4 linked regions of the Coturnix japonica genome follow. The protein of the gene in region 1 interacts with the protein of each later gene in a pairwise test. Links are inferred from orthologs where the notes say so. Each region holds a gene or a part of one and is shown in the gene's direction. Other genes may lie near its edges.

What was found.
Region 2: the proteins of RAD54B (region 1) and TCEANC interact in a two-hybrid assay, tested with the Homo sapiens proteins (2 studies listed by BioGRID). The two-hybrid records come from large-scale screens. The link is inferred for Coturnix japonica from reciprocal best matches to the Homo sapiens genes RAD54B and TCEANC.
Region 3: the proteins of RAD54B (region 1) and ATPAF2 interact in a two-hybrid assay, tested with the Homo sapiens proteins (2 studies listed by BioGRID). The two-hybrid records come from large-scale screens. The link is inferred for Coturnix japonica from reciprocal best matches to the Homo sapiens genes RAD54B and ATPAF2.
Region 4: the proteins of RAD54B (region 1) and RIBC2 interact in a two-hybrid assay, tested with the Homo sapiens proteins (2 studies listed by BioGRID and IntAct). The two-hybrid records come from large-scale screens. The link is inferred for Coturnix japonica from reciprocal best matches to the Homo sapiens genes RAD54B and RIBC2.

What each region holds. Positions count from the first base shown.
Region 1 is NC_029517.1:114,212,612-114,218,277, reverse strand, and holds part of RAD54B (DNA repair and recombination protein RAD54B), read left to right. Parts: intron 1-2,443; coding exon 2,444-2,606; intron 2,607-3,291; coding exon 3,292-3,517; intron 3,518-5,666. UniProt on the Homo sapiens protein: Involved in DNA repair and mitotic recombination. May play an active role in recombination processes in concert with other members of the RAD52 epistasis group.
Region 2 is NC_029516.1:110,838,052-110,844,309, reverse strand, and holds the start of TCEANC (transcription elongation factor A N-terminal and central domain-containing protein), read left to right. Parts: upstream 1-2,569; 5' UTR 2,570-2,588; exon of another isoform or gene 2,589-2,683; intron 2,684-2,700; exon of another isoform or gene 2,701-2,823; intron 2,824-3,343; exon of another isoform or gene 3,344-4,316; intron 4,317-5,393; 5' UTR 5,394-5,487; intron 5,488-6,258.
Region 3 is NC_029529.1:5,011,590-5,017,994, reverse strand, and holds the start of ATPAF2 (ATP synthase mitochondrial F1 complex assembly factor 2), read left to right. Parts: upstream 1-2,716; 5' UTR 2,717-3,038; coding exon 3,039-3,138; intron 3,139-3,510; exon of another isoform or gene 3,511-3,835; coding exon of another isoform or gene 3,836-3,911; intron 3,912-4,114; coding exon 4,115-4,159; intron 4,160-4,493; coding exon 4,494-4,639; intron 4,640-5,067; coding exon 5,068-5,165; intron 5,166-6,107; coding exon 6,108-6,188; intron 6,189-6,290; coding exon 6,291-6,403; intron 6,404-6,405. Other genes in the region: GID4 (glucose-induced degradation protein 4 homolog), read right to left, coding at 505-564, 2,361-2,573. UniProt on the Homo sapiens protein: Plays a role in the assembly of the F1 component of the mitochondrial ATP synthase (ATPase).
Region 4 is NC_029516.1:64,766,061-64,772,175, forward strand, and holds the start of RIBC2 (RIB43A-like with coiled-coils protein 2), read left to right. Parts: upstream 1-2,426; 5' UTR 2,427-2,517; coding exon 2,518-2,637; intron 2,638-4,525; coding exon 4,526-4,607; intron 4,608-6,115. Other genes in the region: SMC1B (structural maintenance of chromosomes protein 1B), read right to left, coding at 1-28, 2,066-2,201. UniProt on the Homo sapiens protein: Microtubule inner protein (MIP) part of the dynein-decorated doublet microtubules (DMTs) in cilia axoneme, which is required for motile cilia beating.

The sequences.
Region 1 (5,666 bases):
TGTTTTGGAATGAAAGTTTTTTTATGTAATACTTGAACTACCCTGTACTGAAGAATCATGAGAATTCTTAAATGACATAGGTTACTCTGAAAGTAATGCCTCCTACTTATTTCTGTGAAAACTACAACAGATATGAAGCACATGGTAACACTATCAGACAGAGCAAATTATGAGCTTCAGAATACTATTTTTCAATGGAGTCACCACCATTGGCCACGCATTTTTGCCAGAAATGAATTGTAGCCTGCATGCCACACTTATAAATTGGCTGTCATATGGCTGTTGTATGGCTGTCCAGAACATGACTTGTCTTTCACACTGCTGTTGTCAGTGTTCAGATGTACCACTCACCACTTCACTGTGCTAACACCCACTGTTAGCACTGTTAGCACATCCACAAACATTCAACAAGTGTCAATGAAGGCCTGTGGCTACAATTCAGTGGCACACCTTTGCTTCATATGCACTTCCGTGCCAGATGCTGTTTTGTCATACTGCCCCTCTGCTGCCATCTGTTGCATGGCAACAACATGTGATGAAATATTGGTGGGAAGCTTCAGTCTCTGCTGCTATACCACCAACATCTGCCTCTGACATCATAGGCCAACATAATAAAATAGGAGACGTTACTTTCAGAGCAGGCCTTGTAAATTCTGCTCATGGCTTTATCTTTCAGATGAAAAAGAAAGATGATTTTAAAGAAATATTAAAAAGGAGAGTTCTTCTACATTATTTCTATAGTTATAGCTCTGTCCAGCTTTTTACCTCATATCTTGACAAAGCTGCTACTTAACAACTGTGTAAATAAACAATGATATGTTGATTATATAGTAATTAGCGATATCATTGGCACTTCCATAAGTGCAAACTCATTAGCACTGTCTTCTAGTTTGAATTCAGCTTGATTATGTTTGGTCTAATGAGGCACCTTCATGACGATTCTGCATTAGCTTTCTAATCTAAAATCTAGCAAAGAGCTGATATATTCTGTACTCAAATGAACTTCTTTGTTGTTATGCACTGCTCTGTCAAAAACTAAGTCTTATTCTAGTACTTTGCTTTCTATTACTCCTGGTGAATTTGAACACCTCCTATGAGATTTTCCCAGATTGCCTGATGCAGAGAACTCTCAAGACATCAGTAGTTTGGACTCTCACACGTTAGTGTTGCTCAGCCCTGGAGAATTGTATTATTTATGTAGTGCTTTGGTGCATAATCTCTTTCAGAAGTAATGGTGGTATTTTCCTAGACTAGGACACTGTGATGGGAGCACTGAAAAGTTTTCATGTTGCTGTCAATGAAAATACTTGATTAAAATACACCTTTCTCAAAATTGAATGCTGTTTATCTACATGCTCAACAGAGCTGACTACACTGACAAAGACATAACATCATGTCTTTCATGTGTGATTTCTAAGATTTAGTCCATAACTCATCTAAATCTTGTTTTTTCCTCATCTCCGAGGCTGCAAGATTTTGACAGAAAGGTGATATTTTCATCACTGAGGGCTTTTCTATATATCCAAATTCAATTTGATGTAATCTGTCAGAACTCTGCCTTTTGTCAGTAGGAAACAAAATCCCTCTGAGTGATACAAGTCTTCAATAGACCTATTCTCATGAATAAATTATCGATATAGTTCTACTCTAGCAACATACAAATATCAGAAGCTGTCAATTGCTTTCTCGTTCTATCTTCTGACAATGCAACTTCTCACTGAGGTTTTGTAGTATCAATACCAGCAACTGTGCATGGACATAGTCTAGCAAAGTAATGCCATCAGAGTCTGTAAACAAATTATGGCAAGCAAAAGTGTTGTTCAGATGTAGCCAAAGGATATAGCTTCATGCTCTGTTTGCCTCTGTATGACTTCAAACCTGTCAACTTCTTGTTTTTATGCACTGTGGCAGCCTTTGTCAGCTCACTTGCCTTCTTCCCCTATATTTTGGCAAATCATCTTATCTCTCTGTTTCACATACAAAATAGTCTTCCTGGGCTACAGAAATCTGTTCTACAAAAATATCCCCTGTAAATGTAGTCTACTCTTTCTGTATGTCATTGTTTTCTTAAAGTTTCCTTTTAGAAACCCTTTAGACCTTCTGGTTTAACTCTCTGTATTCAAAATCATCATGCTGCATTTATTAGGTAAGCAGTTTCATCTCCTGAAACAATGCTGCAACTGCTCACTTTGTTACCCTTATATCTGAGAAGAGTGCAAACTATTTTGCACACCTCTGTAAAAGGATTTTTATTTTGAAGGCTATCTAGATGCTTTGTTGGTAAATGCATTTTCTGTCTGAAAAAGGTCAGTTTGTTCACTAATGTTTTTAGCGGTCATCAGATTACTGACATTTTGCTGTAGCTGAGTTAGAGGAATAATGCCCTTTGCTAACAGTCTAAGAAAAGTTTAGTGCAATATTTGCTTATGTTTTGTATTTCAAGATTCTCTAGTTATGCCGAGACCAAATGCAAGTCATCAGTGCATGTTCAACAAGGCTGGTTTACCTGTGGTGGATGTAGTTGTGGATCCTTACATTGCAAATAATCTCCGACCACATCAGAGAGAAGGAATTGTATTTCTATATGAATGTGTAATGGGAATGAGGTAAGAACATAATTATCCTTTTGGCTTTCAATGCCTATAATATTTTCACGTTCCATCTTAAGAATTAGACAATTCAAAGGGGAGCTTATGAAAAATAGATCAGCTAATTAATATTAATAATCTTTCCACAATAAAGGTTGCACAGGTTTTTTTCTGACTTCTGTGTAGCACTGTTTGCTGTGACTTTGCTAGATGTGATGAGATGCTGGTTCAGCAAAGGGCCTGTCAGTTCTGCTGAAGATACCACATCTTCTAAACACAGATACAATCTGACTCATGCTGAATCACACCACTTTCTGGGGTTTATAATTCATTTAATTCATGATTGTATGATCTATAGTTGAATGTGTGGAATAGAGAAGATGAAGAAGGTATGTGCAGTGAAAGTAAGAGGAGGTATATACAAGTGTTAAAAGGATTATATCTTATGTTATATTTTAAATTCTAGAAGAAGATTTAAGCTATTTGGTTTTGGAGGGCTAGTGCATTAATCTAGAAAATGAGGAATTTCACTCTAAGGACTTCTGGTCCTTGCTGGCTTCAGAAAACATATAACCATGTAGTAAGTACAAATAGATTCTTTAATAGCAAACGAAATGACCATGAGAAACAGTTGCCTAAAACAATTGTGAGTAATTACAGATACGTCTTTCAAAGTGTTACCATAGCCTCTTATATGTTACAGAGTTAGTGGCAGATTTGGAGCTATTCTTGCTGATGAAATGGGCTTAGGAAAAACCTTGCAGTGCATTTCACTTGTCTGGACTCTTCTGCGTCAAGGGGTCTATGGATGTAAACCAGTACTAAAGCGAGCACTAATTGTCACCCCTGGGAGTCTGGTAAAAAACTGGAAAAAAGAATTTCAGAAATGGTTGGGAAGTGAAAGGATCAAAGTCTTTACAGTTGATCAGGTAAGATTTATTTCCTAAAGGACATTAGGTCCTATCTGGCTCAGAATATAGGTCTCACCAGGTTTTTTTTCTTCTTTTTTTTAAGCAGAAACCTGAACTAGTGATTCACTATTAAAATTTATTTGGAATGCTTCATTTCCCTTTCAGAGCCATACGCTCATTTAGCTGTCAGCAGCTGAAGATCACCTGCCTATGTAGCATAAGTCTCATAGTTCACCTTTGCAAATGTAAAAGGAGACATTATCTTCCTTGTCCCTCCAGTAAGGGACAAGGTCCATAAGCTTTCTGTTCTTCCTTGAAGAGCATACCATCCTTGCTTTACGTAACAGAGATTCTAGCTTGACTGACTTGTACTGTGTTTCTCTGGTAGTTCCTGTTACTCTTTACCAAAAACTTTCTAAATTTATTTCAGCTATCTGTTTCTAGTGATTTCAGGAAGTTATTCCTTTTAATGACACTGATAAGAGTTAGGTTTCTGTCTCCTGTAGAAAAGCCAGCAGAAGCAGGAAGGTGATGGTCCCCCTGTATTCAACTCTGGTGAGGCTGCAACTCAAGTACTGTATTCAGCTTTGGGCCCTTCACCACAAGAATCAATGACCTGGAACATCAAGAAAAGGGCAGTGAAGCTGTGAAGGGTCTGGAGCACCAGCCTTACAGGGACCAGCTAAGGGAACTGGGATTTTTCAGTCTGGAGGAGAGAAGGCTGAGGGGAGACGTTATTGCCCTCTGCATGAAATGAGGTTGTGGTGAGGTTTGGGTCATCCTCTTCTCCCATGTAACAGAGATAGGATGAGAGGTTATGGTCTCAAGTTGTGCCAGGGGAGGTTCAGGTTGGGTATTAAGAATAATTTATTTTCAGAAGAAGTGGTGATGCATTGGAACAAGCTGCCTGGGGAGGTGATGGAGTCACTGTCCCTGGAGGTGTTTAAGGAAAGGTCAGATGTAGTACTCAGGGACATGGTTCTGTGGGCTGTATTGGTGGTAGGTGGATGGCTGTACTGGATGACCTTAGAGGTCTTTTCCAATCTTAATGATTTTATGATTTTTCCTTGGTCCTTATTGATTGTACCATTGAGTGTACCAGTGGGAGGAAGTGGAGACACTTTACATTCTGTATAGAAGAATGAATATTTCAGATGAGATGGAAGCATTCAAACTATTTATAAAACTCTTTTGGAAGCTGTACAGTACATTATAAAAGCAATTATTTGAGATCCACTCTTATAAGCATCAAAATCCTGAAGTTATTGAACCTACTCATCGTCCACTGGGGCCAATCCACATCCACTTCATTAAGAAGTGCTTTTTGCATCACTCGTTTTTCTCGGTAACTTGTTTCAAGATGTGGAAATGAAGCAAACTGACTTGTCAGGGACTGTAATTTAATATAGATGAGATGGAGAAATACAGAATTTTCTAAGGGTAGTGGATAGAAGACAAAATATAATAGGATAACGTTATTACCTGAAAAGGTGATTAAAAATAATTGAATGTTTTCTTTCAATTTTTTTTGAATAATGTTGGGAGGAAAGAAATCTGGATTTGCTGACAGTTACTGTGACCCAAAATGACAGTAGCTTTTATCTGACTTTTAATTTAAATAACTTTAATATTCTTACTCATTTCACTGGAGCTTTTTGGATTGAGGACACTCAGCAGCTTTTAAGACTGTTGTTCCCAAATAGCAGTGAATACATTGTCATGCAAAAGGAAGATGCAGTATGACTTGCCTGGAGTATAATGAGGTATCTTAAAATAATTTACTGTCTATCTTCTACAGAAAACCAGCAATTATCATACTGTTATTTCTTCAGTATAACTTAAAAGGAAGAGCTTGTCTCAGTGTTTTGTTTTGGTGTTTTTTTTTTTCCCCATTCTTGCCTACAAGGAATACATTCAAAGAAGTAGCAGGCTTTTAAAATGCATTAGGCGTGTTTTCCTCATTTTAACCCCTCGCTGGTAAATTCCTTAAAGAAACAGGACATTATCTGCTTTTAAAATGTGGTTGCAATTTACTTCTGTTTAAATGCAGATGCCAGGTAGAAGGTGTTGCTTTTGGAAACAAGGCTCCCCCACCAGAGGTTTTATTTAGGTCTTATTAATCCACATGATCAACATTTGAGATGTAATTGAGAGAATAACTCCATTA
Region 2 (6,258 bases), on another chromosome or scaffold:
GTCATGGCCCAGCTCTAAATGCTCTCTCATATGATTCCCAGGCTGAATTTGGGAGTCACAATGTTGCAGGAGCCACCCAAAGGAGGCAGTTTGCAGATAGCAACCGTTTTGCATAGCACAAAGGAGGTGGTACATTTAATTTGCTGCTGTTCCTTCTGTACTCAGACAATAGCAAAACCAGCAGCTCCTTCAAGCACTTCACATCTTCCAAACCTGATTTTCTGACTCCCCTGCTTTCTGCTGGCTGTAGATGGAATGCTGGTGCTAAACTTGGATGCCAAAACTCTGTTGACACCTCTGGAGCTATGACAATAACGAGTGTCTGAACTTTTGCCACCTCTCATTTGACTTTTACAGTCATGCTATCAGAGGGATTTAATACAAAACTACGCTGCAGCCAATTCAACACTTTGCAAACCTACAGAGAATGCTGTAAGAAGTATTAATAATAATAAAGACTACAGTTCTCTATGTGATTAATTGTATCTTTAGTATCAATATTTGTAATTCCGTCATTTCTTGATTTTCAGTCAGGAAGCAAGGGTATTTTTTTTACCATTTACCACAACTTTGGTGCTTAAGCTTTCTGATGAAAATACGGAGACAAATTCTTAGCCATGTTTGTGTAGCTTGTGGTAGCTGTTCTCAGCCACGTTTTGTACTCTTCTGATTTCATTACAGACACTTTGCTCTACAGTACTGTTACCAAGGGCAGAACTTAAGTTAGCCTCCCCCACTAGAAGCGATTCTAGCAAGTGATCACTTACCAGTTCTCTTTCAGGTCTTCAGGAAGGATATAATCTCCCCAATTCCATTTCATTGGAAACAGCTGCTCCCATTACCTGTACGCAAGGTTTCAGAAAGTTCAAACCACAGCTTTGGAGCTTGTGTCTAGGGATTTTACAGGAAATGCCTGTCCATCAGCCCTTCTGCCAGAACACATATTGTCTGGGCTGTTCTGAAGAGTCAATTGTTACAACTCCAAGAATAGGCAATAATAAGGACAGTCTAAAGCACATCCTTTGGGAAACAAATTGAAGGAAGAAGGTTTTAAAGGAATTCATACATATTTTCTTTCAAATAATTCCACTATAAATGTTTGTTGAATGGGAGTACATCTCTGCAAAATTTCACTGCTAATGCTTGACCAATACACAACATCTTCAGAACTGTTAGAAGAAAGATTTCTATTTCATTAAAAGGAAACACATTGTTCTGTGATTCTATTATTGCACTGTTCTCAGGAACTGCAAACTCTTTCATAAATGTACATCTAAGTTAATAAACAAAGTAATCATTGTGGCAATCTTGCAAGTTTCTTGTCTGATGGCACAGATTAACTGTTCACCAATTGTCTAACCAACATTTTCCCAAATATTTCTGTGGATATTTAACAATTTATCAGCTGGCAGAGTATCTTATCTTGTTTAATAGAAGTCTATTCTTTTTAGAGAAGTAGATACTTAGCACAGCCAACATTGAAATCTCAAGGAAAGCAAGCTGTTACTGTAGCACTGATTTTATCCTGGAAAACCCTGCAAAAACACAAAGATATGTATATATACCATTACACAAGTATATGAATATAACAAGTATATCATGTTTATCCCTTGGTTTACTTAGGAGTAACTGAAAAAGCATTATTGCAGAATCATAGAATTGTAGGGGCTAGAAGAGACCTCTAGAACTTTTCTAGTCCAACCCCCCTGCCAAAGCAGGCTCCATAGATCAGGCTGCACAGGTAAGAGTCCAGGTGGGTCTTGAACATCTCCAGAGGAGAATCCACAACCTGTCTGAGCAGCCTGGTTCAGTGCTCTGTCACCCTTACTGTGAAGTTCTTACACACATTTGTACGTAACTTCCTATGTTTCAGTTTGTGACCATTTCCCCTTGTCCTATCACCACACATTGCTGATAAGAGTCTGGCCTCATCCCTTTGCCTCCCGCACCTTAGGTATTTATAGACATTGATCAGATCCCCTCTCAGTCTATTCTCAAGGCTGAACAGACCCAGGTCACTCAGCCTTTCCTCATAAGAGAGATGCTCCAGCCCCTATATTTTCTGGAACAGTGATTAATTAGACCAAACATAGTTTAATGGAGAAGGCTGTGAGTAAGGAACCTCCCTCAAATAGTGGCATCCTTTGTTCTGATCTCTGTTCCTGGGAAGACTCCTCACACAGGGCTAATCATGCTCCTTGTGTCTTCCCTGCTAAAGGAAGACTGCGCCAGTTCTGAAAAGCCATGCTGTCTTCTTCCAGTTTTTCAGCTCCTCTTCTGTACAACTTCAGACTTGTCCCACACTTTGTTGCTGCACAAAAACAAGGCAAAAAAGGAAGCCTGACTTCAACTGCGTAACCAGTTGTGTATAATACACGGAACGAGGTTGACCACTGTAAAAGCATTACGTCACTCACGTATTTACCAAAAGGGCTGTTTCTGCCTGGGAATCGTCCTTGGTAAGAGGCAGGAGCCTTTCTTGTCAGTAGAGGGCAGCATAGGCCTCATCAGTGAATAAAACCAAGCTCATTTACGTAAAAATCATACGGATTTTCACCGTAATTGCGAATAAACCCTATCATACGCCCGTAAGTTTGCCAGAAATACACATCTTTCCCAGAATCACTGTGAATACTCTGCGTACAATGCATGCGAAAGAATAAAAGGCCGTGGCATTGCTCCCCCCGGGTCCCGCCGGCACCAGGCCGCGCTGCCCCCCCCCCCTACCCGGCCCGCTCGCAGACATGGCGGAGCGCAGCGCGGCCTGGGAGGTGGGGAGGGTTGCGCCGCATTGAGGCCCAGCGCGGAGGTAACGGGGTACGGGTCCGTATTGCTGCATATTCCCCAGCGACACAGCTTTCTCTTAACCGATATTGCTCGAGGGTGAGGCCGAGGGAGGCGGTGGGGCCTGGCGCAGTGTCCGAGCACCGCGGGATGGGTGCTGGGCGGGCCCGGTTGGGGGAAGAAGAGGCGTCAGTCAGTGTGTGACAGGTGACAGGAAGAGGGGAAATGGACTTGGATGCATTTTTACTCTGTCTTGGTTTATCAGTGGAAGTTTTCTGCACTAAGGAAAAGTGGACTATGGTTTTGAATCTGTGAAGGTGTATGGCTGGAGCAAGGCACTTACCCCAAATGATTTTGGAGAGGGCAGGTTTTTTTCCCCAAGGGTTAGCTTCTTAGTTTTAAAAATGAGACAGTGGAGATTTGGGTTAGATCTGAGGAGGAAGTTTTTCACACAGAGGGTGGTGATGCACTGGAACAGGTTTCCCAAGGCGGTTGTGGATGCCCCATCCCTGGAGGCATTCAAGGCCAGGCTGGATGTGGCTCTGGGCAGCCTGGTCTGGTGGTTGATGACCCTTCACATAGCAGGGGGGTTGAAACTACATGACCATTGTGGTCCTTTTCAACCCAGGCCATTCTATCATTCTATGATTAGTTAGCAGAAAATCTCTCACACTGGTTTGTTTGTTTGTTTTTCCCCCATGCAGTGATTTTCATTTTTAAAACCTTTGGATTCAGTACAATGTTTTGGGATGACTGTATTTCAAACCTGAGGTAGTCTGTTTTATTTATTTTTTTGTTTGTTTGTTTGTTTTCTCCTTAAAAGCAAACTGACTTACTAGATTTTTATTGATCACCATTGCTAATTCTTGTACATGCAGTGACTCATTATGCCATGTGGTCAAGTGTGAGAGATGGTAATGATTTGGCAAGAAAGTACCTCAGCAGCACAGTATTACAGAGCCTAATTGAAAATGCAAACCAGTTTCTATCTTCACTTAGAATTCAGATGGATGTTCCCATACTTTGCTGAAATTAAGCAGAATGGAAATGCCTTGTGTTACTTCTTGGAACAAGGAAGACAGCAGAAAACTGCTGACTGTTTGTTCAGCAGCATTTGCCAAATAGCATTAAATCAAGTGGGGTAGTGGTAAAATTCCAAATGTTTTAAATGTCGGATGAAAAAACAGTGTATGGCACAAAGACTGGATGAGGGATTAAAACCTTCCCTCCAGTCTGTGACCAGGCACCTTTGGGCCTACAGGGTGTTTTGTTGTTGTTGTTGTTGTTTGTTTGTTTGTTTTTTGAGGGTTTATTTTGCCAAATATTATGCAAATAGGTATCTTAAAAATGTAAAATTTCCTAAAGGCCATAGGGAAATCGTTTTATCCCCAAGGCTGGGCTTTCTCATTGTGCACTATTACACAAGGCTGCATGGGTTTGCTGTACTACAGCCCCCTCAAGTGGTAAAACATTTTCCCATTTAAAACTGCAGCCAACTCCACCACCTCACTGTTGTGCCATGCTCCAGAGAGGTGAGTAAGTTTCATTGTGTAAGCTTCATAACTAATAATGGATATTTGTAGACTACCAGCAGTTGTTTTAGACTTCTGTTTTCCTATTTGCTGAATAACTTGCTTCAATCAGTGCTTTTGCATATCTGACAGCAGAAAAAACAACAACCCCTTGGCGGCATGCAGGGTGTCTGACTGTTCCCTAGATTAGAACAAGCTTACAGAATTCCATCTACAAAACAACCAAAGAAAGTATTCATGTACCTGGGAGAAGAACATAGGCTGTAGATTTTTGGTTTTGCCATTATGCTGCAAAACATCAAAGCCCTGTTACACAGCAGAAACATCAGTGTTCAACGAATGTGTGAGTAAGAAAGAAAGAAAGGCTTACTCTGCTTAGGTTCAATGTGAACTTTGGCTAGAAAATACCCTCCAGTGTTGCCACTGCATCAGTAATTCTTTGTTTCTCCCTCTAAGAACATGGAAAACATGCAGTAGACTCAGAGTATTTACTTGTATCTGGATTCTAGAAATGTTCCTTGACATACTGACTTAATATGAAATGCTCTGCAGGATTCCCTGTGTTAAACACTCTGCCTCAACCTTTGAAGGAAGCCAGAAGTTTTAAAATGTACTGGGTTTGTGCTTGTTCTCAACATCAGCCTTGGTGATTAAAATCCAATTGCCACTTGTCTTACAGAGCAGCAGTGCAAAAACAGCATTTTTAGTTTCTCATCACACTGCCTTTTAATATGGAAGCTGAGATGAAATCTGTGATTGTCTAGGTAGTGGAATACTTTATGGTTATGGGTATGTATCACTTTTCAGCTTGAAGTATTTTAAGGTCTTTTGAAAACTGGGTACACACAGCAAAGCAGTGCCGTGCTGTGTGTACAATGCTTTCTCTTCAGAAACCCTTCTTCTCATTTGTCATTGATGAAGGCATACTTATTACTTTTACTTGGTTGTTTCCCTGCTGGTTGTTTCTTGTGTTTCTACTTGCAGATAATGAATATCCCACTCCGCTGAAGATGTTAATTACAGATTTCAATTCTGGTCTTGTCATGTGTTTTGATGACTTTTTTTCCTTTCACACAGTTCTGCTGAGTAAGAGGGTCACCCAGTTCTCTTTGCTGTTTGTCATACGAGCTGAGGAAAGCACTTCCTCAGAAGTGATTGTTTGGACATAAACGTGAGTAGTTTAGTGGCTAACTGAATTTCCAAAATTAGTTTTAAACTTCTATATTTTCATGCCCACATTCTGTTATCCATTTTTGTTCAGCTGCAACCATAACCTTTACTTGAATTTGCTGTTGGATAAGCTTGAAAAAGTAAATGCACCACTATGGAGATCTTAGGATTTCTAGGAATTTAACCACTGCATTACTGTGGGAAAAAGTCTTAAGGTAGAACATATATATTATATTTATCTAATCCAAGACAGACTACTAGAAGGTGAATGTTTGGGAGATGGGGAGCTGTCCTGCTGTAACCATGGCCACCCTGCTTAAGAAAACAATTCTTTCCACTCTTACAGACTCTGTGGTTGGTTACCAGAACAAATGAGGAAGGATTTGGCTATAGGTGCTTTATTTTATTTTATTTTACAGTTTTACAAATATATTTGAAAAAGCGTATCTCTGTTTTCTCTCTGTTTCTGAAACTGCTTTAGAAAAATAATTTCTGTTATAAACATTATTTGAGCTCTCACGGGGCTTCAAAATGTCAGGCAAGAATGAGCCGTTTCAAGACAAGTGAAGTGAAAGCAGACAGCGTTTGCTATGGAGGTCAGGCTGGTCTGTCGTCTGTGCTTGTAGAAACATAATGAAAGTTGATCCTCGCTGTCTTGTCCTTCTTTTCTTTTGAGCTCCAAGGCCCTACCTAATGTTTAAACTTATTTCTGGCATGCATAGTACAACTGAAAGCTGCGAAATGTGCAAATTGTCCAGCTTTCTTTCTTCCT
Region 3 (6,405 bases), on another chromosome or scaffold:
AGAAGAGAGGTAAGATTTATCACTTAGTGACCAGAACTCAGCAAAAGGCAGCATTTCACAGCAAGGATCCTACTAAAGAATCTTGGACATGCACAGTAAGTAGTGTCACACCCATGAAACACCTCTCACTGACTGCTCAGCACAGAGCAGACCACCCTGGGCGGATATGGACAGAAGCACATAAAGATCTCACTTGTTTGGGTCTTATGTTTTCTCCTAGCGTGCTGGAGGTGTGTCCAAAGCTGACTGCAGGGTCAGGCTGGATTCAGTTCAAACCCTAAGGGATGCCAGACAAGCTTCCCTCCTTTCAGGTCTCCCATCAAGGCCCATCATATTTGCTCTATATGCCAGGAACAGCAGAGTTAAGCCATTAACCTACTTAGCGGTCAATTTTGCTGTATGCTCAATCCCTCTGCTACCTCCTTCTAGTGGTAGCTTCTCCTACCTCACTAAGAAAAGCCTTTGAACAGCATCTTCCCATGCTGTTTTGCAATTAGCACTCACCTCTGTAAGGCCTTTAATCTTCAAGTATCCACAGAGATAGGAGTTTTCCATGTCCACGTGCTAGGAAAAAAAGTGCAAAGTCCTACTATTAGCATGCACAAGAAGGCACTCCATTGATCCAAAGCTATTTCTAACCCCAAGAGTTTCCAAGGCTCAGTTCTGCTTCAGCTGGTACTGAACATCCACCTCACAGTCACCCCTTCCCCAGGGCCGGGGGGGAGGCTGCATCTCACCTCCTCTGCTATGCAGAAATGAAGCAGTGGGATGCTTCTGCTCTGAGCGCTTTTCAAGCAGGGGGATTTTCCAAGCCTTCCCCTGACACCTCCAGATTGGTTTTCAAAGCAAGAAGCGAATTATTTAGGGAAGTGCAAACATCAGCTGTGAGAAGATGGCTCTTCCCCACCTGTGATCAAAGAAAAGCCACATTGCTCTGCGCTCAGTAACAGGGAGAGCAGGCAGCCATCTCTTCTCATCTGACACGCACAGAGCAGCGTCTTTAGCACAAAGATAGAGCCAGCCTCTGCGAGAAAGCAGCATGCAGTGAACTAAACAGCCATAGGATGTCTCCGTCAGAACAAACTGTAGTGGGTACAGTCATGCTGTTGACAAGTAGAAGACTGGATGTGAAAGCAGAGGGCACAGTTCACACTGCCCCATCTACTGACCCTGGGGCTCTGACTTTGCTCCCCAATGCCGAGCCATGCACCAGGCTGCAGCACTGCTGCACACCCAGCCTGGGTGCCCCGATCCAAGAGACTCACAGCAGGAACAGCGCTGTGATTTGCTACAGGAAAACATGCATCAATGCCTGGCTTCCCCATGCACTAACTCCACACCTCTACCCAAATTGAATGTGCCAGCACCTCTGACTAAAAATAAAGCACGCAGGGTGACAGTGACTCCAGAGAGGATTAGGAAAGCCCCATTCTGCAGAACTGTCTGCTCACATTCCCATTACAGCAGAACTGCTGCACCCCTCCCCTGGTTCCTCACGCAGCCACTGGCACCATGGGATGAGGAACACAAAGCCCAGCACAGGGACCTGGATCCCTGCTGAGTTCCAGCCAGGCCTGAAATACAGGCTGTCCCACTGCTCGGGACTTCCTGGGCACCTCCCAACACGAGGCAGGATCCCACCCTTCCTCATGGCAGCCCAGAGGCACACGGGCACCCCAGGCCTGAGGGGAACGAGAAGGAGAGTCCTGCTGGCAATAGCAGGACATGGGGAAATGGTTTTAAGTTAAAAGAGGGAAGATTTAAGTTGGATGTCAGGGGGAAGTTCTTCACTAGGAGAGTGGTTAGGCCCTGGAACAGGCTGCCCAGGGAGGTTGTGGATGCCCCGTCCTTGGAGGTGTTCAAGGCCTGGTTGGACGGGGCCATGGGCAACCTGATCTATGGGGTCTCTATGGGGATCTATGGGGTCTCCTGGGCAACCTGATGTAATAAATGTGTATGTTTGGTGGCCCTGCCAGGCAGGGGGTTGGAACTACATGATCCTTGAGGTCCCTTCCAACCCGGGTCATTCTGTGATTCTGAGAGCTGCTGTTAAGTATCTCAGCAGCCACAAGGAGAAAAGGGGCAAAAGTGTGAGAGGAAAAGAGAGGAAGGACCCCGGGTCCCATCAGCCCTGAGGGGATGGAGCAGTGAGGGGCAGTGAGAGCCGGGTGGGGGCTGCAGGAAGGGCCGGGGCTGCAGGGAGGAGCTTATGGAGATGGGGGGGATCGGGGCCGGGCGGAATCAAGGCGAGGGGAACCCGGACAGCGGGGAGCAGAGGGGAAGGAAGGGAAGGAAGGGAGGGAAGCAGGGAAGGCCTGAGGCCCAGCGGGGCCCTGTGGGCGCCGGACACGGTCCCTCACCTGCATGACGACCTCCACCTCGTACGCGTTGCCTTTACTGCGCTGCTGCCCGCGGAACTTGGCCCCGCTGTACAGCAGGGATGTGGCCACTCCGGGCTGCGCCGTGTTGATGGGAGGCGGCGGCACCAAACTGCTGGCGGCCGCTCCGGACGGAGCCGATGATGCCGGTCCCGCCGCTCCGCCCGCTCGGCCCCGCTCGCTGCGCACCGGCATCTCGGGGGGGTCCCCGGGCGCCAGCGTGGCCGGGGCTCAGCGGCCGCCACCGGGGCCGCGCTCCGCTCCGCTCCCCTCACGCCCAGGCCGCCGCCGCCGCCGCCTGGCTCGGGGCCTCCCGGCAACGCCCCCGCGCTCTCCCATTGGCCCTCGCGAAGCGGCGAGAAGGCGGGGCGGAGCTCCGATTGGCGGAGAGCTCTCCTTCCCGGCAGGTTTTACGGTGAGGAGGCTGCTGGGAAATGTAGTTTGTTCGCCTCGCGCCTCACGCGACGGGAAGGCCGAAGGGGCAAAGCGCGTTCTGTGCTCCCATTGGGCGGAGCGGGGCAACATGGCGGCGCCCGGGGCGACAAGCTGAGCCGGGGGAGGCCGCTCCGAGCCGGGGTAGGCCGCAACGCTCCAGCTCCGTTCGCCGCCCCTCATCGTTCCTCTCGGCTCCTCATCGTTCTCTTCGGCTCCTCCGCCGCCATGTGCCGCCTCCTGCAGGCCCTGGGCCGCATCCCGGCTGTGGCAGCCCGGAGCCGCCCGCTGTGTCCGGGTGGGAGTCGAACATACGCCCCTCCCGCAGGTGAGGAGCTGTGGGCCCCGCGGGGAGGAGCCCGGAGCCCCGTGTGAGAGCGGGGGAACGCGGGGGGTGTCGGTGTGTGTGTGTGTGGGGGGGGATTAGTGGGAGCCCCCTCCTCAAGGTCAGCTCTTGCTGGCTGGGGGAGGGGTTGGGTTCCGGCCTTCAGAATGGGCTGAAGAAAGGAGGAAGAGGGAAAATGGGCTCCGAGGTGGGTAAGGAGGTGGTGGGGCGTCACTGCGCTGCTTTTCCATCAGTGGGTTTGAAGGTTCCCTTTGGTTGCGGGTGGGATGGCGGGGAGCTCCACCAGCCCCTCCCAGGCACGTGCTGGGCTGTGCAGCCCCTCTACAGATATTGCTGGAAACACGAGGATGGGAGTCAGGGTTTCATTGAGTATCATGAGGCCAATGGGAACACGCTGAGGTGCCTGAATCCTCCCAGAGCTGTGCTCCAGCACTGCAGCATTTCCTGAGGCCCTGAAGCTTGTAGGAGGCTGAGTGGATCCCCATCCTTCTCTCTGCTGGGCCCGTGTTGGCAGGGCACAGTTCAGTGACAGCCAGGAGGTGGATTCAATGGGCTCAGCATTTACGAGCTGGTTGTAATTGTCAAGGGAATCTTCTGGGTGAGACGTGTGGGCTGCGGTGAGCTGAGGACAGTGGTTCCTCCCCAGTGACTCAGCTGCCACGTGCAACGTGTCTGACACATGATCCAGTTGCTGCTGCACATAGGGTTCATGGTTCCTCCAAGTGGTGTCTGCAAGAAATCTGCTCCTATGGGTGGTCAGGAGATCTGGGGCATTGCTGTGGATGTCACCAGTATTGTGACACCTCCCAGGTTGAATAGAACTCACTGGAATGGAGAGGGGCTTGAATGAGTGGGATTTTGTGGCTGTTCTGTGGGCTGCAGCAGCTCTGAGGGCTCCCTGTGTTCTGACAAACCTCCCCTTGCCACCCTTTCAATTGCTCTGTTTTCAACCCCCCAGAGAGGAAGCGGTTTTACCAGAACGTGAGCATCTCACAAGGAGAAGGTGAGTGGAGCTGCTGGGGCAGGCGAGGGCTGGTACTCACACGGGGGTTACCATCACAAGGCAGTGCTGTGTCTGCAGCCCCTGTTGTGAGCTGGGCTGTCTGTCACCCACATGCTCTGCCCTTGTCCTCATCCATAGTAAAACCATGTGGTGGGAAAGTTTCCAGCATCATCTGGGGAAGAGCAATGTCAAAACATTGATGTTGGTGGGAAAATTGCTGATTCCTTGCTCCCTTCAGCTCCAGCTCTGAGCTTGTTCCCTCTATGGGGTAGTCTGTTGTTCCTTAGTGCCTGCTCCTCTTTAATTCCCCAGGATTTCTACTCTGATTCCCCAGGAGGCTTTGAAATCAACCTGGACCACCGGAAGCTGAAAACACCCCAGGCCAAGCTCTTCACTGTCCCCAGTGAGGCCTTGGCCATTGCAGTGGCAACAGAATGGGACTCTCAGAAAGACACCATCAAGTTCTACACTATGCACCTGGTGAGCACAGCAGGTCAGAGTGCTGAAGCACAAAAATGGTCTCCAGAGGCAGAACACAGAGAGAGACCAGGCTGTCCTAATGTCAATTGAAGTGGGAACAGGAGTTCAGTGCCTTGGCTGAGTACTGTGGATAACTTAAGGCTGAGCAGGCAGCTGGATGCTGGCTACAGGACTGGGAGGGAAACCCGTGTCACTGGGGAGTTTGAGAAGGGGATGGAGAGCATTTCTGGGGATAGCAAGGGGTATGAACAGGTTGGATAGACTCTATTATATGAGCCATGTTCTGACTCTATGTTTCCCTCTTAAGTAAGCTCCTTGATTCTTGCAGTCTGTCCCAAATTCTTCTGCTTATCTTGACCTAGTACACTGGAAACTGCTGCTTCCTTGAGCTTTAGATAACAGTGATTTCAGTTGCCTTTATCCTGCAGACCACACTGTGCAACACAGCTCTGGACAATCCCACTCAGCGAAACAAGGTGCAGCTGATCCGTGCAGCTGTGAAGTTCCTGGAGACTGACACTGTCTGGTAAGGGACTGCGGGATGCACTGGCACAGAGGTGGGGTTGTCTTGTTGTAGAGTGGTTGAGAGAACTGAGGGAAAATGTCTGTTCTAACCAAGTCATTGCAGGGCTCTGCTCTGTCCTGGCTTTGGCCCAGGGGTTTGAATTAGTTTAGACGAGTCCTATGTCCACCAACCTAGTGGAACTCCATGCATTTAAAGGGCATAGATACAAAGAACAGGGACCTGTTTCTTTGTTGAAATCTGTTTGGAGATGTCCATGTTGGACAGGGAGCAGGAGCAGCAAGAAATGTAGTGGGAAAAGCAAAGAAAGGCTTGGGAGAATGTCAGCTCAGTCCCCTGGCACTCCAGTAGCATAAAGGTGTAGTAAGCTTAGATTACCTGTACTAGTAGTAAAATGCCCTTTGCTCCTTAAAGCTCCTGTGGGTTGCAGGATCCAGCCTACCCAAGCTCACGTCTCACAATCTCAGCCTCTGAGGTGTCCACTGGCAGCTGCTTTGCTCCTGAAGGGAGAGGGAAACCAGATTCACCTCACTTTTTGTGGCTTTGTTTGTGTTGGGCTGGGCAGGGCGGTGGCTGGTGAGTGCTAAGCTGAGCCACTGGGCGTGCAAGGCAGCAGGAAGGGCCCTGTGGGATTTGTCCCATGGATCACTAAATCTTGCTGCATCCCTTGGCTGGTTTCAGGTAATCTGCAGTCTTCTGTTGTAGATTGTAGCCCTGTTATATAGCTGCATAGAACTGTCCTTTCTAGAACAATAAAAAGCTTTGAATGGAGAGATTATTCCCAGTCCCAGCTGTTGCAGGTAGGGTGAACAAGAGGTCTATGCTCCCCATACTGTGGTCTACGGAGGGCACAGACTTTCTTCTCAGGAGTGCTGCAGTCTGGCTGGGAGCAGTCTGACAGCTTGTGTGTGAACACCCACATGGCTTTGTTGTGCAATGTCCCAGCTATCGTGTGGAGGAGCCAGTTGCCTTGGCAGAGCTGCAGAAGAAAGAATGGGATCCTATTGTTGCCTGGGCTGAGAAAAGGTGAGAGTTTAAAGCTGTTTCTAAAGGCCCATAGCTGTAGTGCTCGTGACTCAGAGCTGCAAGATCCACAAGCTTTTCTAAGGGGCCATGTGATCATGTCAGGTACAACGTGGCAATCGGATCCTCTACCAGCATCATGGGACCAAACATCCCAGCCAGCACCAGGGACACCTTCATCAGCCACCTGGCCTCCTACAACATGTGGGCTCTGCAAGGT
Region 4 (6,115 bases), on another chromosome or scaffold:
CTAACAGCATCCATTATGTTAGATTTTCCTAGAAAGAAACAAACAAGTCAATGCTCTGACATAGAAGAGACTGAAGGAGGGATATGATTAACAATTAGCTAAAAATATAAATGTAAGCACAAAAGCCTTCAATAATTCCAATTCTGTATTTCATTGGTGAAAACATATTGCACAGTGAAGAAATACATTTCTGAAATGCAACAGTGGCAGCAGATAAAAAGCTTGTCTTTAATAAAAACCATCATAAAAACTTACCTGTTATTTATTTAGCTCAGTAGAACAAATTTTATTGCCATTACTTATGCTGAACTAACAGCATCATAGTCCTTACTTCACAGAGCCCTTTTTTGTTTATCATGGGTGTCCAACATTTTGTCTTACTAGGGCTGCACTGAGTGAAGAGGAATTGCCTTGGGCCACTTATTAAATACATAGTAAACTTAAGGTATATAAGTAACAAAACTTCCTTAATATATTTTTTTTTCTATAACATTAAAAAAAGGGAGAGCAACAAAAACAAAATAAACCTAGTGGGATATTTGACCTCATTTTTGCAAAACCAATGCATCAGTCTGATTCAGCAGAAGTGGGCGTCATTCTTACTCAGTTCTCAAGGTGCTCGTCAGAGATTTCTGATGAAATATTACTCTTCCTGTGCTTCAGACTTGAAAATATTTATCCACAAAGCTACATGCTGCCAAAAAGCAATGAAGTGAATAAGGCACGACTGTGAAGCAAGGGATATTTATCTCTGGTATGATAGGTTGACATAAAAGTCTAGTAGAGCAATATGATCAAATCCATCAGCTGGTTACGTGAACTTACTCTTTATTCCCTTTACCAAAATAGGAAGTAAGGCTGCCTATTTTTCATTGTTAACAGGACTGCATTTAGCCAATGAATCGAAACACAACTTTTTTCTTTCCCCCACTGCTTGACTTAGCACAGCACTCTACCAACCCCCTGCCTGGGTTTCATCCCAGACAGTGCTTATCATACACCAGTGTATCATACACCAGTGTTTGGCTGTTGCTGAGCAATGGAAAAAGCTGGTGGAGAAGAACAGGTGCCATAATGATGCTGGGCAAGATGTGGAGCTCAGCACAGACTGAGCCAGACCACCTGTAAGCTGCAGGAGCAGCAGGATCTAAAACCAAAATCATAAACTAATGGACTGGGGAACTAAGACCAAATGCTAAGCCTGTCCTTGTGGCTCCTCATTAGAGCATCGCCTTATTCTCTGCCAAGTAAAGAATAAAATCCCATCTGCTTGAATAGCGTGTTCAGCAGAAACGAGCCCGTTTTAAAACTTCCAGCACCCACCACCTAACTATGCTGAGACACACTGACAAGCAAAGGCTCTTGAGGACTAAACTGCTATGTCCAAAGTGTTTGGTGGTGATACTGCTATTTTTTCTAAATGTGAGAAAGGGAAAGCATTCAAAATATTACACAACTTGACCCAAACAGCTTTCCTTGGATTTCTTAATGTCATTTATTTTTCTCATCAAATCTAGACCAAATCCTGTCTAACCAATTCCCTGCCTCTAACAAAGCCTGCTACCTTAAAGTTTGCCTTAGTCATGCGATGGAAGATTTTCATACTGTTTTCCACAATGCAAATAGTACAAGTTAAGAGACATTACTGTTTCTCTTTATTACTCCACCTCCTGGGGCAAGGAAATCTGAAAGATGATCTGACATATTCACTGACATGATAAAACACTTTTATGACAAAAGAAAAAAAAAAGCCCTCAGGTCCCTGTAAAGAGGCCACATAAGTCTACATCCCCTGTGCAAAACCATGTAGTTCTGCTCCTCAGGGGACAAGCTGCTGCCCATTCGGTGCCATAATAGGGCTGTGGTAGCCCAATTACTGGGCCCACACTTGGATGCAATTGCTGTTATGGGTTCTTCCTCATGAGTCTTGAAGAGACCTGAAAATGAGCCCAGAACTAAGACTGGGAAAAAGCCTGGGAAAGCAGGGCAAAGGCAACAGAAACCTCCATCTTGGCAGCAGTGGAGGACACACACAACCACCAAATGCCCCTTTCCAGCCTCCTACCTGATCCATTGGGCCCAATTATACAGTTGAACCTCATGAAGGGGCCAATAAGCTGCTCCCCACGCCAGGACTTGAAGTCCTTCACCATCAGCAGCTTCAGGTAGCCCATCCCTTGGGCAGTGGGTGCAGAGGCCATTCCCCCCTTCCAACTTCGGCCACACACAAAATTCAAACCACCAGGTATTTTTTTTAATGGCTTGTCTTCCAGAAGGAGACACGAAGGGAAAGAAACCCCACAGCAGGAGGCCTCCAGACGACGGCAAAGCTGACACCCCTCCAAGCTCAGCCTCGCCCCTTAGCGGCCGACATAGAAGGCCGCAGCCTGCCTCGTGCTCCCTGCCCCGCCTGATTGGCCACCAGGCGCTGGGAGGGGGCGGGAGCTCATTGCCATGGCGATGCGGTGTGTTGTGCTTTGGTAGCCATCGTCGCCGCTTGTGCTCCTTGCCGGCGCCATGAGCGGGCTGACGGTGCAGCAGCGGGAGCTGCAGGAGGCGGCCGCTCTGGAGCGGCGGCGGCAGCGGGAGCTGCAGCGTCAGGGCCGCATCTTTAACGTGCGAGTTCGGACCATCGGGGTGAGGCGCTGCCGAAGCCTCCTTTGCGGGTCGGGGCGCGGTTGGAGCCTGCCCGGCTGTGGAGCCGAGTAGATTTGAGTCGGTCTGGCTCCGGGGAGGGGAGGGAAGAGGCAGCAAACACCCCGAATTTGTGTTTGGGTATCAGGAAATCAAGTGGTACTTTGTAGTTATCTAAATAGCCGTGAAGATTCTGTACTTGTGGTAGTTAATTTTCCCTTACTGTGCCTGAAATCTCATGTTAACATTCTGGATGCGTGTGTTGTGAGGTGAAATAAGTTTAGATGTTGCTGCTAAGTTGCTTTTCAGGGCTCTGTTGCAATAACTAGCTTATAATCAAAGTTAGAAGCTCACTTAGTGGAAAGAACCTAGCTTATAATCGAAGTTAGGAGCTCGCATAGTGGAAAGAAATGAGCCCAGTGTGTTAACTTCACTGTGCAGGTAGGGTTGCAGCAGGTGACAGTCTGATCTAAGTGATCTCAGGTAATGAAGCATCTCACATGTCAGCAGAAGGATCCGTTTGCCTTGGAATTGCTCTTGTGACCTCTGTGCAGCAGTCAGTTATATAGTAAAATAGCAATTCCTGCAAGGAACTCAACAGGCTGGTACAGCATCCTGACGCATGGTAGCCAATGGTACAGTCAAGTGGTAGGAGCTAATAATGTGTTTTAACAAAAAGTTGGGTGGGCACAGTAAGAAAGTTCAACTTTCTTTGCCAGGAAACACACTTTCTCTGTTAGATGCCTTTTCTTGGGCCTTAAAAATTAAATGTAAAATGCCATTTCTCACTTAGGGAAGATCATTGGATCTCAGTGTACTTTACTGAGCAGTGCTGATTTACACCATATCTGGAGGTCTTTCCCAAATACTGTTGTAGGACGACCGTTGGACAGGTTTTAATAGCTCCATTTACACGAGACAAACATCTAAAGTGAAAGTATTGGAAGAATTCTGTGAGTATCTTGATGAACATCATTTAATAATACCATATTTGTTGGCTGAGCAAGAAGTGCTTACAGAAGGGACTGTTCTTGCTGTTTGCAATTAAGCCACATCCAAAACAGGTGAAGTCAACAAAGCTATACAGGTATATAGTATATCTCTATTTCCTCTATAAGAGGTTTTAGATTCTTTGTTTTCTCATTCTCTCACTAATTTATCTGAGTGATTGTCTGCAACAATTCAAAAATGAAGGCAATATTTGACAGCTTAAAAATATTTGAACTGGGGATTGAGTAGTTTTTAACATGTGGGGATAAAATACTGATGGATGCATTCACATTAACAGTATTTTGGAGGGCCCTCTGCTTTCTGCCCTGGTGAAAAAGAACACAGCGTAAAATCTGTATTTTATAAAGGTTTGCTTCCCCAGAGTGGGTTGGCCTTTTTTAATGCAATGAGAATTGCATGTGTGACAGAGGTAAATGCTCCATAGCTATTGCACTTCTCATCCTCTGGTGTGCATGGTTATAAGTGTGAGGGGCAACAGGGAAGTCATCTGAGGGGGGAAAAAAAAACAAACAGCAAGAACTGGAAGAAATCAGGAAAGCAAAGCAGGGGGGTAGTGATTGAAAGTGAAGCAAATGGTCAACTTACATCTCTTTTATTGTTATAGAAATGAGACAGAATAGTTTGAGTAACGTGTAGATGTGGCACTGAGAGGCATGTGTGGTAGGTGGACAGTTGGAATAGTTGGAATAGATAATCTTAGGTCTTTACCAAGCTTAGTGATTCTATGATTCTAATAGGCAGAGACTATTAAAATACTTTATCAGGCTCTTGAAGAATTGTCAGTAGTTTTTTTTTATGTCTTACAATGACATCCAGTGACTTAGCCAGTAACAGCTGGTGTGTTGTTGTTATTACTCTTTGTTTTGTTTTGTTTTAATAGGTTGATAAAGATGCATTGGATGCCCAGGTCAAGGATAGAAAATTTCAAGAAGCAACTGAAAAAGCACGAAATGAAGAATTTGGTATATTCATAGATAGTCTAATGTTTGTATAAAGTTGAATGTAAATAGATTTGTCCTGTATTTCATTCCTTTTTCTTTTCATACACGTCCAGCCTACTGGTTTTGTTTTTGTTGCGTTATTTTTTAACGTTTTAATAAAAAAAAATAAAAAAATAATGTTTTTGTTGCTTGTATGTATTAACTATATTATATATTTATATATATGGCCAAATATAATTCATTTTCATTCAGTGCAGCCCAGCAAACCAAAAGGTTGGACACCCATGTATTTTCAAATGAAATCTATCTCCTCAAATATCAGTTCTGTATATCTATGTATTTCTAGGTGCATGTGCAATTAGGCTTCTGTCTAAATTCAGACTTACAAACTGAATCCTTTGTGTATCCCTATTTATGTTTGCATTGGTAGAATGTGTTTTCCTTATTATCACAGGGATTCATTCATATTGTCATGGGTAAAATGGTATGTATTTCTGAATAGATTTCAATCTTCTGTGTTTTCTTTTAATAAATCACGATAAATAGCATTGTTAGAGACCTGAAAATATAGGATCATTTAGAAAAATAATTATTATTTTTCAAGCAGAAGTGGCAAACTTATTTTACTGCTGTCTTTCAACATAAGTTTATGTTCCTTCTGGCTGTTCATATACAGAATCAATAGATAGAATATTATACAGATTTCTGTTGCTAAAGTCACACAACGGCATAGGTTAGAAGGGACAGTCCAACCCCCTTGCCATAAGCAGGAACAGCATTTACTAGATCAGGCTGCCCAAACTCCTGTCCAGGCTTACTTTGAACACTTGACATGATAGGACATCCATAACTTCTCTGGCCAACCTGTTCCATTCTCACCACTCTCATCTCTTTCTCACATCCAATCCAAATTTACCTTCCTTACATTTAAAATCCTTGTTTGTTGTTCTGTCACTACAGACCTTAGGAAAAAGTCTATTTCTTATTAGCCCTTTTTACACATTGAAAGGTTGCAATAAGGTCGTCTTGAAGCCTTTTCTTCTCCAGGCTAAAGAAGCCCAGTTCCTTCAGCCTTTTCTCATAGGAGAGGTGTTCCAGCTCTCTTTTATTGGGCCCTCATCAGGACTCATTTCAACAGCTTCTTGTGCTGGGGGCCCCAAAGTGAGTTACACAACACCCCATTCTTTACTGTTGACAGGGGATGTGGCTATAATTGCCTTACTCAAACTGCCAGCTGCACTTCTTATGAGGCCAGGATATGACTAACATTTCAGGCTGCAAGGGCACATTATAAGCACATATTAAGTTTTCATCCAGCAATATCCCCAAGTCCTTCTCAGCAGGGTGGTTCCCAATCAATTCATCTCCTAGTCTATACTGATGTATGTACTATCCCAGCTCATATACAGGACTTGTACTTGGCCTTGTTGAACTTAAAGATGCTTGTGAGCCTTCTTCTCAAGCATGTCAAGGTTTCTCTGAATGGCATGCCTTTCCAACAGTGCATCAGCACTATTGCTTGCCTTGGG